Drosophila melanogaster: one gene and its partners. The protein of the gene in region 1 purifies or fractionates together with the protein of each later gene. This does not show direct contact. Each region holds a gene or a part of one and is shown in the gene's direction. Other genes may lie near its edges.

What was found.
Region 2: the proteins of ATPsyndelta (region 1) and Cpr78E fractionate together in Drosophila melanogaster (co-fractionation; one study listed by BioGRID). This does not show direct contact.
Region 3: the proteins of ATPsyndelta (region 1) and ATPsynF purify together in Drosophila melanogaster (affinity purification with mass spectrometry; 2 studies listed by BioGRID, with this or other methods). This does not show direct contact.

Annotation. Positions count from the first base shown.
Region 1 is NC_004354.4:10,211,167-10,218,078, forward strand, and holds ATPsyndelta (ATP synthase, delta subunit), read left to right. Parts: upstream 1-1,803; 5' UTR 1,804-1,908; intron 1,909-2,114; 5' UTR 2,115-2,120; coding exon 2,121-2,319; intron 2,320-2,393; coding exon 2,394-2,605; intron 2,606-2,932; coding exon 2,933-2,995; 3' UTR 2,996-3,830; coding exon of another isoform or gene 3,831-4,955; 3' UTR 4,956-5,382; coding exon of another isoform or gene 5,383-5,388; 3' UTR 5,389-6,227; downstream 6,228-6,912. Other genes in the region: CG2962 (uncharacterized protein), read right to left, coding at 3,831-4,955, 5,383-5,388.
Region 2 is NT_037436.4:21,665,952-21,669,020, reverse strand, and holds Cpr78E (cuticular protein 78E), read left to right. Parts: upstream 1-2,040; 5' UTR 2,041-2,064; coding exon 2,065-2,076; intron 2,077-2,142; coding exon 2,143-2,544; 3' UTR 2,545-2,569; downstream 2,570-3,069. Other genes in the region: CG43980 (uncharacterized protein), read right to left, coding at 3,001-3,069.
Region 3 is NT_033778.4:24,598,423-24,601,948, reverse strand, and holds ATPsynF (ATP synthase, subunit F), read left to right. Parts: upstream 1-2,127; 5' UTR 2,128-2,182; exon of another isoform or gene 2,183-2,249; 5' UTR 2,250-2,253; coding exon 2,254-2,332; intron 2,333-2,451; coding exon 2,452-2,696; 3' UTR 2,697-2,857; downstream 2,858-3,526. Other genes in the region: CG3548 (uncharacterized protein), read right to left, coding at 337-840, 969-1,488, 1,564-1,901; CG13587 (uncharacterized protein), read right to left, coding at 2,858-3,050, 3,116-3,458, 3,516-3,526. UniProt on the Drosophila melanogaster protein: Mitochondrial membrane ATP synthase (F(1)F(0) ATP synthase or Complex V) produces ATP from ADP in the presence of a proton gradient across the membrane which is generated by electron transport complexes of the respiratory chain.

The DNA of each region.
Region 1 (6,912 bases):
AACGAACTAATTAGAAAACAAATTTTAAAACGCAAGTAGAATGTCATTTACTTCACTAAGCTGAACATTACTTTTGAGAATTATTATGGGTTTTTAATTATTTGTTTTATTCTTAATTAGTTGAGATTGACAACTAATCATAAAGATCGGATGACAAGAAAACCTACATATAATTTTGCCTGAATCAGATAGTACGAAGGGTATACACTTTTCGAAGTATCTAAAAGTACCGTAACAAAAAACAAAAGGAGCAGAAGATGAAAGCGAAGAAGCAAAAAGAGGAGCAACGACCCAACATTGTTGTTGTCTTATGCCGCTGCTTCTTTGCGATGTTGCCGTTCCGCTCGCACCGCTATAGCTTGGGGTCAATAGCTAAGGATCGGATCTGTTGTATATATGTTTATATAGACCGATTGCGGTTAGTTCTCTTATCAGAAATAACATGAAATATATTGCGTTGCGACGCCACTGGCGACCGCGACGCAGGCAGAGGGCAAGACAGCGGAGAAGAGAGTGAGTGAGAGTGTGACGGCGGAGAGAGAGGTAAACAAAAATACACAAACACATACACATGCGCGCTACAGCTGCTCGTTCACATGTGTATGCGGGCCTGTATGTGTGCAACAAACAAAAAGCAGAAAATCCTTCTCTTCTTCACACCCTTTTTCCACAACAAAGTCAGCTGTGTGTGTGAGGAATGAACTTTAAGGCAAGCTTTCTGTTTCTATTTTTTGCAGAGTTTTTCCAACTGAAAGGCGCAATTTGCTAAGACACCTATACACATACACGAAGAGCCAAGCAAAATAGAAGATATAACAAAACAAAATAGAAAATAAGCAGAGCGAAAAATATATAGACAGCTATCTATGCACACAAACACAAACATGGGGAAACACTGTTGTTTTTCGCAACTGCGTTTCGCCTGCAGGTGCGACAGAGAGGGCGCGAGTGGGTGACAAACTTGGGTAAATGTTGCAAGCACTTACGTCCTGTGTGTTTTGTTTGTTTGTTTGTTTGCTTGTCGCCTTTCGCTGTCGTTCGCCAACAAACACCTCAGCGCAGAGCACACACGCGACACGCACACACTCACACACAGTCACAGAGACGTGCACAAATAGCAGCCGAAAATGGCACTCTCTTCTTCTTCACTTGTATAATAATGCAGCAATCTGCATTGTTTCGTTTCTATTTCCAATTGGAATTTGTTGTTGTGCTGCCTGTGCCAGTGTGACCAGGTAGCGCGGTGGCTAAAAATAGTCGCTAACGCCAGTTTTGAATGTTGCGCGGGTAAAAGATTCGTGAGATACGAAAAAACTCCGAACTTTAATAAAAGGATCTAATAAAAAAGGAAATACTGAAAAAGAAACTAAACAAAATCAAAAACACCAGATTCATAACAGTATAAATGGTCGCATGGTTATGCCATGTAAACACACCGTTATTAATCAAAGTCTTAATCTAATAAAGGAAATTTCATTTTTTAAATTATAATTTTTGGAATAAATAGTTTTTCTTTTAATATCATTTTTAATGTACGATCAAAAGCAATATACAAAAAATTTAAGCTTTTAATTGGCGATGCCAGACTAATGAATTAAAAGAATAAGTGTTGCCACTAAAAGTTTATTGGTCTATATAATTTGTTTATTGATTGAGGCACTTTATTATTATAATTAAAACACTTAATTATTATGTGTGAAATGATTGCACTTTTTATTTTGTAAGAGCCTGTTGCGTATTGAAAATTTTGTATTTTGTCTTGTCCTCTAAATATCGTAAAAACGCGTTATTGCTAGATAAGTTTTGTATTCCCGGCTGGTCACTCTGACTTAAACGTTTTTCGCAAAAACAGCGGCTGATCACTGAAGTTTTCTCGTGTTTTTCGCTATCAAACCGAAATAAAAACAGGTGAAAATAACTGATAAATTGAGGGGTAGTCCACTGATCACAGTGCCCGAGGATTTGCAATGAAAAGCGATCGAAATTTGAGCTGGGGAAACGCAATAGCAGCCGCCGCCTAACCTACAAAGTTACATAATTTGGTTATTTTGTTGTTATGCTGGCTGGCTGTGGCAGAAAAGACTTTTAATCCTGAATTTATCCTCTCGTTGCAGCCCAAAATGTCCTTCGTTAAGAACGCCCGTTTGCTGGCCGCCCGCGGCGCTCGCTTGGCCCAGAACCGCAGCTACTCGGATGAGATGAAGCTGACCTTCGCCGCCGCCAACAAAACCTTCTACGATGCCGCTGTGGTGCGCCAAATCGATGTGCCTTCCTTCTCGGGATCCTTCGGCATCCTGGCCAAGCACGTGCCCACTCTGGGTAAGTTCGATCATTCAGTTTCAGTTGCCTCGAGATGGTTATATCACCGTTGGCGAATCTCTTTGCTATTGCAGCTGTCCTGAAGCCCGGCGTTGTCCAGGTGGTGGAAAACGATGGCAAGACCCTCAAGTTCTTCGTCTCCAGCGGTTCCGTCACCGTCAACGAGGATTCCTCCGTTCAGGTTCTGGCCGAGGAGGCCCACAACATCGAGGACATCGATGCCAATGAGGCGCGCCAGCTGCTCGCGAAATACCAGTCACAGCTTAGCTCCGCTGGCGACGACAAGGTGCGAATCTAGTCAAGAAGTTGCATAGTAGAGTAGTGTCTAGAAAGTAGAAGTAGTGGTCCAGAAAGTACAACTCAAACAGACTCTTTTGATGGAAACACTGCTTCCACCATTCACGCCAACTGGCATTTAAGTTACTAAACGATTTCTATGTGCCCATCCTTTTTACTTGATATACTTTCTTTGTACAAACAAGTTTGCTCTTAAATTAACGCTTACACATTCGATATTTCCATGAGTAAACTTATGTTTGAGTTGCTTTTGCATTCTGTATTGCACATTCTGAAGCTATCTAAACGAGACTTAACCACGATCCTTGTTTTGCAGGCCAAGGCCCAGGCTGCCATTGCCGTGGAGGTCGCCGAAGCGTTAGTCAAGGCTGCCGAATAGACGTAATCACCACACAACCGCCACCAATAAACCACAATCGATGCTTTGTGTCTGAAATAAATAAAAAACATAACGATCACCTTAAAAAGCCAGAGAGTTATGAAACAATAAAAAAGCGAATCATAATATCGTATTAATGACCCGTGATCCACCAGGCAAATGATTTTTTTTTCTTTTTTTTTTCATGTTATGCCGCTAAACTGTGTGTTTATATAGTTTATAATATATGTATGTGAGCTGGTGAAGAGAAATGTGTAATATTTGCTCGCTGTGGGATAGACCGTTGATATGATAATGCTTTGGCAATCTTTAAGTCAAAAATATGAGTGATTTGCATTTTGGCCGAAAGAGACGAACGTCGTTTCTTTTTCCCTTGCCAATTTATGCAAATCGCATAAGCATAAAAACTTACAATTTGTAAATGAGCTCGTCTTTCATCTTAACAAATAGTATAGTTTGTATTTCATCTGGTGTGTTGCATTCATGGATAGTTCGCATATCTTATCTCGGATGATTGTTTAAATTTCTCTCAAAAGTAGTAATAAAAAGCAACTTTGTTTTTTTTTTATGGAAACAAGAATTAATCAATGGCTAAAATTATACTTTTGGCAGATAGAAGATAATCCATTTTGAAACTCTTTATAAAGATGATAAATACTATAGAATTGAAAAAAGAAAATTGGATTTTTTTTTTTTGGAATTGTCTATGTATTTGGTAACAAAAAAATGTGTTGTAAAAAAAATGTCTTAAATTAACTCATGGCGTTGTGTGGGAATGGTAATATGCTGTCGATGTAGTTAGCAGGAAGGTCCTCCGATAGATTGGCGAATTGTTCTAGTATCCCGGTGGGCCGTAGGTCTGGGCAGGGGCGTGACCGATGGGCAGGGACTGCTCCTCGGGAGCAAAAACGGGTGCAGGAGCGGGATGTGGCACACTCAGGACGGGAGCGGGTGCTGGGGCGGCATAGACTGGAGCTGGGGCAGGAGCGGAGTAAACTGGAGCGGGAGCAGGAGCGGAGTAAGCTGGAGCGGGAGCAGGTGCGGAGTACACTGGAGCGGGAGCAGGAGCAGAGTACACAGGAGCTGGGGCAGGAGCGGAGTACACTGGAGCGGGAGCAGGTGCGGAGTACACAGGAGCGGGAGCAGGAGCAGCATAAACTGGAGCCGGAGCTGGAGCAGCATAAACTGGAGCCGGAGCAGCGATCTCCTGAGGAGGCAGGTAGGAAGCGACTGGAGCAGCCACTGGTGCGGGCACATCGATGGGGGCATAGGCTGGACCGGCAGCTGGAGCGGAGTGCTCATGGATCACACGCACCACCTTGGTGGCTCCACCCGAAGAGTAACCACCGGAGGAGTAGCCACCCGACGAGTAGCCACCCGACGAGATGCCGCTGTCGTGGCTCTCGTGAACGACCTTGATGACCTGGGACACGGCACCGCCGCCAACCGAAGAGCCGCCGATGAAGGATGGTCCAGCCACGGGTCCAGATGCCACATTCACCACCTTGACAATCTGCGGAGCGCTCTCGACCAGCGGGGCACTCACAATGGGTGCGGATTCCTGCAGGATCTTGATCACCTTGACGGAGGAGGGGGCGGGCCCAGCTGGAGGCAGATAAGCGGGTCCAGGAGCGGGTCCATAGCCACCGCCGCTGCCGCCAGAGATGACCTTCACCTTGAAGATCTGGGGAGCCGCCTCGTAGCCATAGCCGCTGCCATAGCTAGCGCCGGAGGAGTAGCCAACGCCGCCCTGCTGATGGATCACCTTGACCACCTGGACTGGGCCACTGGGTCCATGGCCGCCATAGCCGCGAGCGCCACTACCACCGCCGCCGCCTCCGTTGCCACCACCGCCTCCGAGGTTAAGGCCGCCACCACCGCCTCCACCGCCGCCACCGCCGAGGAGTCCCAGGAAGCCAGCGTTGGCCACAGCGAACAGAGCACACATGCAAACGAAGACCTGGAAGGATGGCAGAGTATAAGAAGCGATTTAGTTTCATGTTTCATGTTGCATCCTTAGAGGATTTTAAAGAATATATAAAGTTCATTAAGTTTTTGTTATGTTTTCCAATTAGAAAGTAGAGTTTTATCGCTGGTTTTTTTTTCTATATCTTTAAAGGATCTTTGATCTTCATAGACTGTATTTTCCAAATGGATATACTTTGTATTCATTCTTTGTTTAAATATTTTCATTTTCAATCTTCTGATATTCTTCAGCACACTTTGTATTTGAATATTAACTATCACTTCTTCGAAAGTTCGAAAGAATTTAAACTGAGCTCAGGATGCTCTTGCCACTTTGTCACTTTTCAAATCAGTTTGGATAAATAAAAAAAAAAAAACTAGAAGAGGATATTTGCCGGCACAGGACATTGTGAGCAGCTCACCTTCATGCTGACTACTAATCCACTTGATGCGATGATACCAATTCCAAAAAAAAAAAAACGCCTTGAGTGCCGATGAGCAAGCGACTGATGTCCGATCGATTGGAGACCAAGTCTTTTATACGATATAAGCCAGCAAGGGCGAACAAAAGGCGTTTCATTAACATTTCCAAACTGCCCATCAACGCCATCATCATCATCGCCACGATGATGAGCAGCATCATGATGATGGGCTTTCGTTTTCATTTCGATTTTCACCAAATGCTGCTGGACGCACCCAAAAGTGCCAATCGTCGTGGTTGGTTCTTCCATAGCCAGTTGGATTCGGAGCTACCAGCTACCAGCTACCAGCTACCAGCTACCAGCTACCAGCTACCAGTTTCAGTTTCATCAAGTCTTACGCTGCATTTCCCAAATTCCGAATGGGGATCCCACAATTAGCATGAAAATGAGACGCTACGTTAGTGATAAGCTCGGAATGGGGCTTTCATATTTCGTATTTTTTTTTTTATTCGGCATCTTATGTTTTATGGTTTAGGTTTTCGTTTTCATTTTGATTTTGATTTCGATTTGGATTTTGGATTTTGGTCAATTCAATTTGCATACACGGGCGTGCTGCAAAGCGGTTGCCTCACAAGGCGGCCGGCAGTCTGTCATAAACCAAAGCGAAAACCTAACCCAACCCAACCCAATCCAATCCAATCGAAACCAAACCAACCCATTCCATTTCACCTCATCCGGCAATTTCAAGGTGAATCTGAATCGGAATCTGTTGTCAAGCCGAACCATCTCATTGATGGTGGCTATATTCCATCTATATGCAGGTATTTATAAAACGAGCCGATTATTATGCAAGCCACCAGTCGCATCTTCGAGCCATGTAAAACGCATTATGTTGGCCCAATAGGCCAAAGATGTTGTAAAATTGGCCAACGGTTCGGATCAGTGATATCTGTTGGCGCATTTTAAATAGCCACTAAGTATTACATACTTACAACAATAAACATATGTTTATTTACACAAATATTCAACATAATCAACTGATGTGCATATATATATATATCCATTTAGAATCATATTTCTACTCAGTTTATAACAATTTTATAAAATACTATCAAATTGTTCAAATTGGTTATGCTTTTCGGTTAAGAAACGTATTAATTTATACCAAAAAAAAAAGAGATTTTCAGTGGGCAGATCAGATTGGTGGGAAATCAAGTAATATCCAAGAAATGGTTGGCTAACCTGCACTCTGCCACTAATCGTGATTATGATCTTGTCGCGGTCTATTATGGTTTGTTAATTGATCCATGCATGGAATGCATCTGTTGAGAAACTACATACATACATACATAAATATCTATATTAGTGCATCTGCAATCTCGAAACAAGTTTGGCTCAAATCTTCAGTTCAATATAACTTTTAACTTATATACATAAATATTTAAAACGATATATTTGAGTTTTGCTAGTATATATTTGTTCGTTCTATTCAAAGTTTATTTCACATCAAAAGTACATGTAGTGGTATCC
Region 2 (3,069 bases), on another chromosome or scaffold:
AAAAATAAAACTATTTTCGTATGGCGTGCATATAGACGCTCGATCATTAGACGGCAGCAGAGCCGCCACTTGGCACAGTTTTCCAGAGCACAGATTGGACCATAAATCAATCGAACCAAATTAAATTAATTCAATTCAATTCCAATCCAAATCCCAAACAAGAACCAATCTCATCACGGCTCCATGTGTGCGGATCGGTATGTGAAAAGTGGATACACAAATTCTAGTCGATTTGTCTTTTTCCGCTTACTGGCGTTTCAATTCCACAACGACAGGAAAGGGAAAAAGGCGTATTTACTATGAGTTTGCTCAGCGATTTGCAGGTGATCCAGGTGTATATAGTATTAGTAAGTATTTCATCGTTTGGTGATATACACTCGAGAATATATTTCATCTGACTAATCAAAGTCAACTGACGCAACGACGCATTCAACTCATTTTACGGCTCATCTGCGATCATTATCATCAAAATCATGAGCATCTAACAAAAAGTCATAAAGTCGCCAAAGCCGAAGAACTCTAATTAAGTTTAAAGATAGAACTTTTCATGTTTTCTGTGCAGCTTCGTACGTTTTAATGATCTTTTGGTAATTAAAAGTTGTGAATGGCAGCGAAACTTTCAGTGCAGGTATATAAAATCGTACCGAAAATTATTCGGAAATAGCTTATAAAAATCTATTGAGTATCGGAACACACAGGGGGACAACACCCAATGACTAAATTCCTAAAATTACAGCATTTGGGAATACGTATTCCCATTCACTGGTACAAAGCACATTTGGAAATCAAACACCAAGGCAGAGAAAACTCAAAATCGTGCCAGCAGTCATGTGCTTAGTAATTTTTCTGATTGCTCAATACTCAAACGGTATTCAGGATTTCGATTAATAATTAATTATAACACAGCCCGAACAAAGAAACAATATTTGCCAGATTCCCCGATCATGCGGAATCGAACAAATTGCTTCGTCCGCCTTCAGCGATCCAATGGATCCAAATCGGGGCATCTTCGACTTGGCAAATGTATCGAAAATTAAATGTAAAATTTATTGTTGCATAAACAGAATGCCAGGAATCGGACCGCATCCGAATCGAACGATGCGTATGTGCCACCTTTAAGTATTCAGCCCTGCTCATCCAACCATCCCACCTCCATCTCCACCTCCGGGCCCATCCCCATGCCCATTCCCAATACCGTCCCCTTCTCCAGCTCCATCATATGGGTCCCCAGCATTTACATCTTCATCTGACCGGCTGGTACTGCTATGTGGAACGCATATAGTATGGTCGGCTGGAGAGGATGGAAGATTTGGTGCAGCCTCATGCCCACTGGCCAAAAATAACATCAATGGGAGCAGGCAGGAATCAGCGCGAAGACGGACGTCGTGTGTTTGCTTTGTTTATAGTTTTCGTGTAAACAATTGGCAGCGGAAAACCGACTTCCCGCCGTGTTGGCGTTCGAGAAAAATTGAATCTGGAAAATGCCCAAACAACACAAGCAGCTGAAGCTCAAACAATGTAATGAAAAGTGGCCAGGGCAACCGAAATAGAACTAATGCTTATTGGTCATTATTTTCCACAAGCTAAACGAATACCTTACGAAAAATGAAGTAAAAATCTTCGACTTAGAAATAATTTTTAAAAGTAACATATTTTCAGTGATCTTTTGAAATGACTGCAAAACATCTTAAACTTTTTTTTTTAATTCTCCCGAAACCGAATGCTACTATAGCAGAGATAAGTAAGTGAGACCCTGATCCGGGGTCGAACATAAATTAGGAATCTCAAATTGCAGGCCGAGATTCGAAATTGCAATGGGAGATGGCAGATGGGCCTGGGTAAGAAGCTCGCTCTTTAATTAATTCTTAGAACGGGTTTCAAGTAAATACCCGCGGACTCAATTTGTACATATGGAGTGTATGTAAGTGAGTGTCTGGATGCCGGACGATAACCGGTAAACAAGGCGACCAGCAATTCCAATTCCACTTCAGTTTTGGAAATATAAAGAGCAGTCTTCCCTCACTCGGAGTCAATTCAAAGCCAGCTTCCCCTCCAGACAGCAGCATGTTTAAGATTGTGAGTATCGCGCCGCCGAGAGGCGATCACTCCAAGGATTAGCCCATTCCTAAACCATCTTTCCAGCTCATCGTCGCCCTGTCCCTTTGCACGGCCGTCGTGCTGAGTGCTCCAGTGGACCACGTCACATCCACCACCCAGCCACCGGTGGCCATTCTCGAATCATCTCACGAAAAGCACGAGGATGGATCGTACAACTTCTCTTACCTCGGCGAGGACGGCACCCACAGAAGGGAGGAGGCCGTGGTCAGAAACCAAGGCACCGAGAACGAGTACCTGGAGATCAGCGGCTCCTACTCCTACTTCGATGCCAACGGACAGGAGGTGACCGTCACCTACAAGGCCGATGACCACGGATTTGTACCAGAGGGCGGAGCAATCCTGCCCCAGATTTCGCTGGCCGCCAAGCAGGTCAGCGAGCAGGTGCCCCAACCAGATCTTGACTATGCTAAGCCTCCTAAGGTCTAATAAACGAGGCACTGAAATGGAATCTAATTGGTGTTGTTTTAGTTGTGTTCTCCAGCAAAACATCCAGATATAATTGCAAAGTAATGGCTGAGAACTCGAAATCTCCGATGAGGGAAAGGTGATTCAATATTTGAATGCTGCCTCCATTCAAATGAAAGATTTGGTAGTTACAATTTTACTTCCTTCATTTAATGCAGAAACAATTTCAACTACCAATAATAGCTAGAGGACCGCCTGCTCGGCCATCTTGGGGTTCGTAGAGGTTAACAGTGCGCTGAACAAATTGAAAATACAAAAATACAACTAGGAAGGTGGGAAAGGAGGTCGGGGCGGGCAGGGAAACTATTATAATACATAAAAGCTCAGAGATTAAATTAAAAACAATGCAATAAATAAGAATTCGATTTCGTCGAGAGAGAAGTGTGTGGAAGCAGAGCTCCATCACTTCACTTCACTTCATTTTTTCACAGGCGTGACCGGGGGCGATCGGTAGGAGTTGACCAGACCACCACCCGAGTTGGGCTT
Region 3 (3,526 bases), on another chromosome or scaffold:
ATCTCTTCGCCCGGAGTACTTAACAGATACGGATACAATTATGTAATACTAATTTCTTGAAAATGCAATGCCTGTGAGTTCGTCTCGTGCGAATTGCACAATAAACAACAGTCCATTCGTCCGAGTGGCAACTTGAGTGTGTCGATGAGTATTGTATGCGCGTCCGGCGTTTACGTTTCCGTTTCCGGTTACTCTGGCTGACCGGAAGAGCTACATTTCGCTAAACATATTTCAAGCTAAATTTTAAAGTACTGTTGATGTTTCCTCTAAATGCCTTACACCCTAATTGCTGGCTCTCTTCGTATTGTATATGCATATGGGCCAACAGCCACGCCCCTAGTTGCAGGCGGCATTGAGCGCCAGCGCCCCCTCCGCACTGGTCGATGGCCCGACCTCGTGGACATTGTTGTAGTCCGCTTTGGCATTGCACTTTGCTGAACTCTGATCCTGTATGCTTCCGTTCAGGCCACCGCTCTTCAGCGAGTAGATCCCCAGGCGCGCCTCGTGCTCCCGTCGTTGCTGCCGCAGCCGGATGTCGTGCTCCTCGCGCATGTGCCGCAGCTTGAGGTCCTGCTCCTGCCGGTAGTAGGCCATCTTCACCTCCTGCTCCATCTGCTCGAAGCGCAGCTTCTGCTCGTGTTCCCGCCGGGCGTAGTCGATTTCGGCCAGACGGGCCTGCTTGAGCAGCCTAAACAGGTCCTGCTTGTACTTCTGCTCTATCTCCGTGGCGGCGACCAAATCTAAGGACTGGCTATTTGTGTCTGCAACTGGGGTGGCGCTCGGAGCTGCGTTGGTGGAGGCTTCGTTCTCGTCGGACAGCAGCGACTGGGCCTGTGAGAGCTGGTTAACGATGAGATAGTATTATTAGTAAGAAAGATTAAGATTCCCCTTCACAAAAATTTGCAACTTGTTCAGCTAAACCTTAATTAATAATAATAAATAAACTTGCGGCTTGTGTTCAAACTCACATTCCTTTGTCGCCGCTTTCGTGGTGGGCCTACGCCCTTTTCGTTCTCCTCCCCCGTTTCGCCGGACGTTTCTGTCTTGGCGCCCGAGGGCGACTGCTTGGCCTTGGTCCGCTTGCGTCGCTGGGCTGGCAGCTGGGCGGGATTTCCCTCCTGCTGGGAGTCCCCGTCTCCGCCAGCAGTGGAGGGCGGCGGCGAGGGGATGGCTATTGTGGAGGTCTGCAGCGTGTCCTCGCTGGCGTTCGTAGAGTTGGGCAGAGCGGCCAGCGGCATGTCTTCGTCCTCGTCGATGTCCATGAGCTCCTTCTTAAGAGCGCCGTTTGTGTTCGCGCTGCGTGTCTGACTGCGCGAGGTGACCGGATCCTTCTGCATCTCCTCCAGGAACTCGATCATCCGCATGCCTTCCAGGGCCTCCGTTTTCGGATGCTTCTGCTGGTGCTCCCGCTTGGCGGAGTTCTTCATGCTGCGCCACTGCACCTGGATCTGCTCCAGCAGGCGATGGCGGAAGTTAAGGGCATTGAACCTGGATGGGGGGTTGGAATGGAAGGAGTGAAGGGCCATTATAAGACGAGCTCCACTGCCCAATGGCGCAACTTACTGCTTGGTGATCTGCGACCAGGCCAGACGCTTGGCCTTTATGCTCTTGGCGTCCACGCTCCGGTTCTCCACGAAGGCCACCTTGGACTTGATGACCTCAAGGAGCAGCCCCCTTTCCGCCTCCTCCCAGTTAAGGGAGCGTTTCTTGCGCGTGCCCTTCTTCTTGCCACCCGCGCCTTCCTTCTCGCCAGCATCCTCGGCCGCATCCTCCGCGTTCTCCGCCCCCTCGTCCGCGGTGGCGCTGCTTGACTTCTGCGGCTTCAGCTCCACCTTCTCGTCCTCGTCGTCGTCCTCCGGCGGAGAGGAGGCTCCCTTGGTCAGCAACTCCTCCAGTTTCATTGTTTTTGTTTACACACTGGATTCGCTTTGGCTGGATTCTGATTCGAATGCCCAGGCTTGCAAAAATCCTATTTGATTTCTGTATATACTGGAGCTTAGTGATGTGAGAAGTGCATCGTGCATCGGGCATCGATATATTCGCTGTATCGATGACGTAGCGAATACATCCTCCCTGTTAGCGGAGACGCACACAATAAATTCGCACATAGTATATTTCGGTATATTGGTCGATGAAAATCCCAGCTCTCGCCGCTTTGGTCATACTGTCAGTATCGAAGGAAGTAAGTAGCAGGCGTAATTTTATGTTTCATAAGAATCCGATTTAAGAATATATCTCAACCAAACCAGCGCGATGGCATTCGGTGACTATCCAGCTGAGTACAACCCCAAGGTGCACGGGCCCTACGACCCCGCTCGCTTCTACGGCAAAGGTGAGCAGGTTACGTAATTTTTGCGGCAGGCACAGAGCACATTTGCACTGCCCAAAAATGTGCAGCGTTTTACATAATTTAAACAACTTTCCGACCTCTCCGCTCTCTCCGATCCGCAGCCGATGTGCCCTTCGGCCAGGTCAAGCTGGGCGAGATCGGCGCCTGGCTGGGACGCCGCAACAAGACCCCCAACGCTGTGGCCGGAGCTGTGAGCCGTGCCTGGTGGCGCTGGCAGCACAAGTACGTGTTCCCAAAGCGCGCCGGGATCGCTCCCTTCTTCCAGCTGACCGTCGCCAGCATGACGTTCTTCTATCTGATTAACTACACCAAGTTGAAGCACCACAGGAACTACAAGTACCACTAAGCGGCGCTGCCCGGTGGTCCTGCATCTGCAACAGATTCTACACTTTCCACAAGGCGTGCGAGAGGCGGGCAATCACCACTAAACTATATCTATTTGGCTTTTGTGTTTTGAAAACTGCTTAAGTGAATAAAACGGCTGCGAATATCCATGCTGCCATAGACTCAGACTCGGTCTCTTCCGCACTCGAAGACTGCATTTGGGCCGATGTCCAGCTCGGAACTGGACTGCTCCCAGCCGAAAGTTGACCGGGCCGTGTGGATTTCGCAGATAAAGGGCAGCTCCCGGTCGCAGTTCAGGGTTTGCCAGGTTCCCTGCGGCGTCAAGGCCACGCAGCTGGCGTTGCCCAGATCACCACTGCAAATTCGGTTAGATTTAGAGAAGATAGCATTGGCGGCTAACCTAATAAACTGTCAGCCTACCCAACTCGAGGATGACCACCATCCCAGGCTCTGTAAAGAAAGCACTGCAAGCTCTCCCCTTGGGAGTTCCTGAAGTCCAGTGGGCTCAATGACGTTGAGCTGTTGTAGGCCAAACCCACATAGGCCAGATAGACATTACCTTCTGCCAGAGACTGTGATTTCCTGTTGAATTCCACTAGCCATTGGGCCAATAAACTGGTTCTGTGTTCGGATGCGATGTGGGCCAGACTACCAGTGAACTCCGAGGAGTTTGAACAGGTCAGTGAGGCATTCAAGTAGGCACTAGGCTGAGTATACACCACGAACAGCCCAACCTCCGGTATGCAGCTGTAGTTCCTTACGACTAGCAAGAACCACAAAATTATTCAACCAAACAGATACGCTAGATACTTCATTTAACCTGTTGGCCTT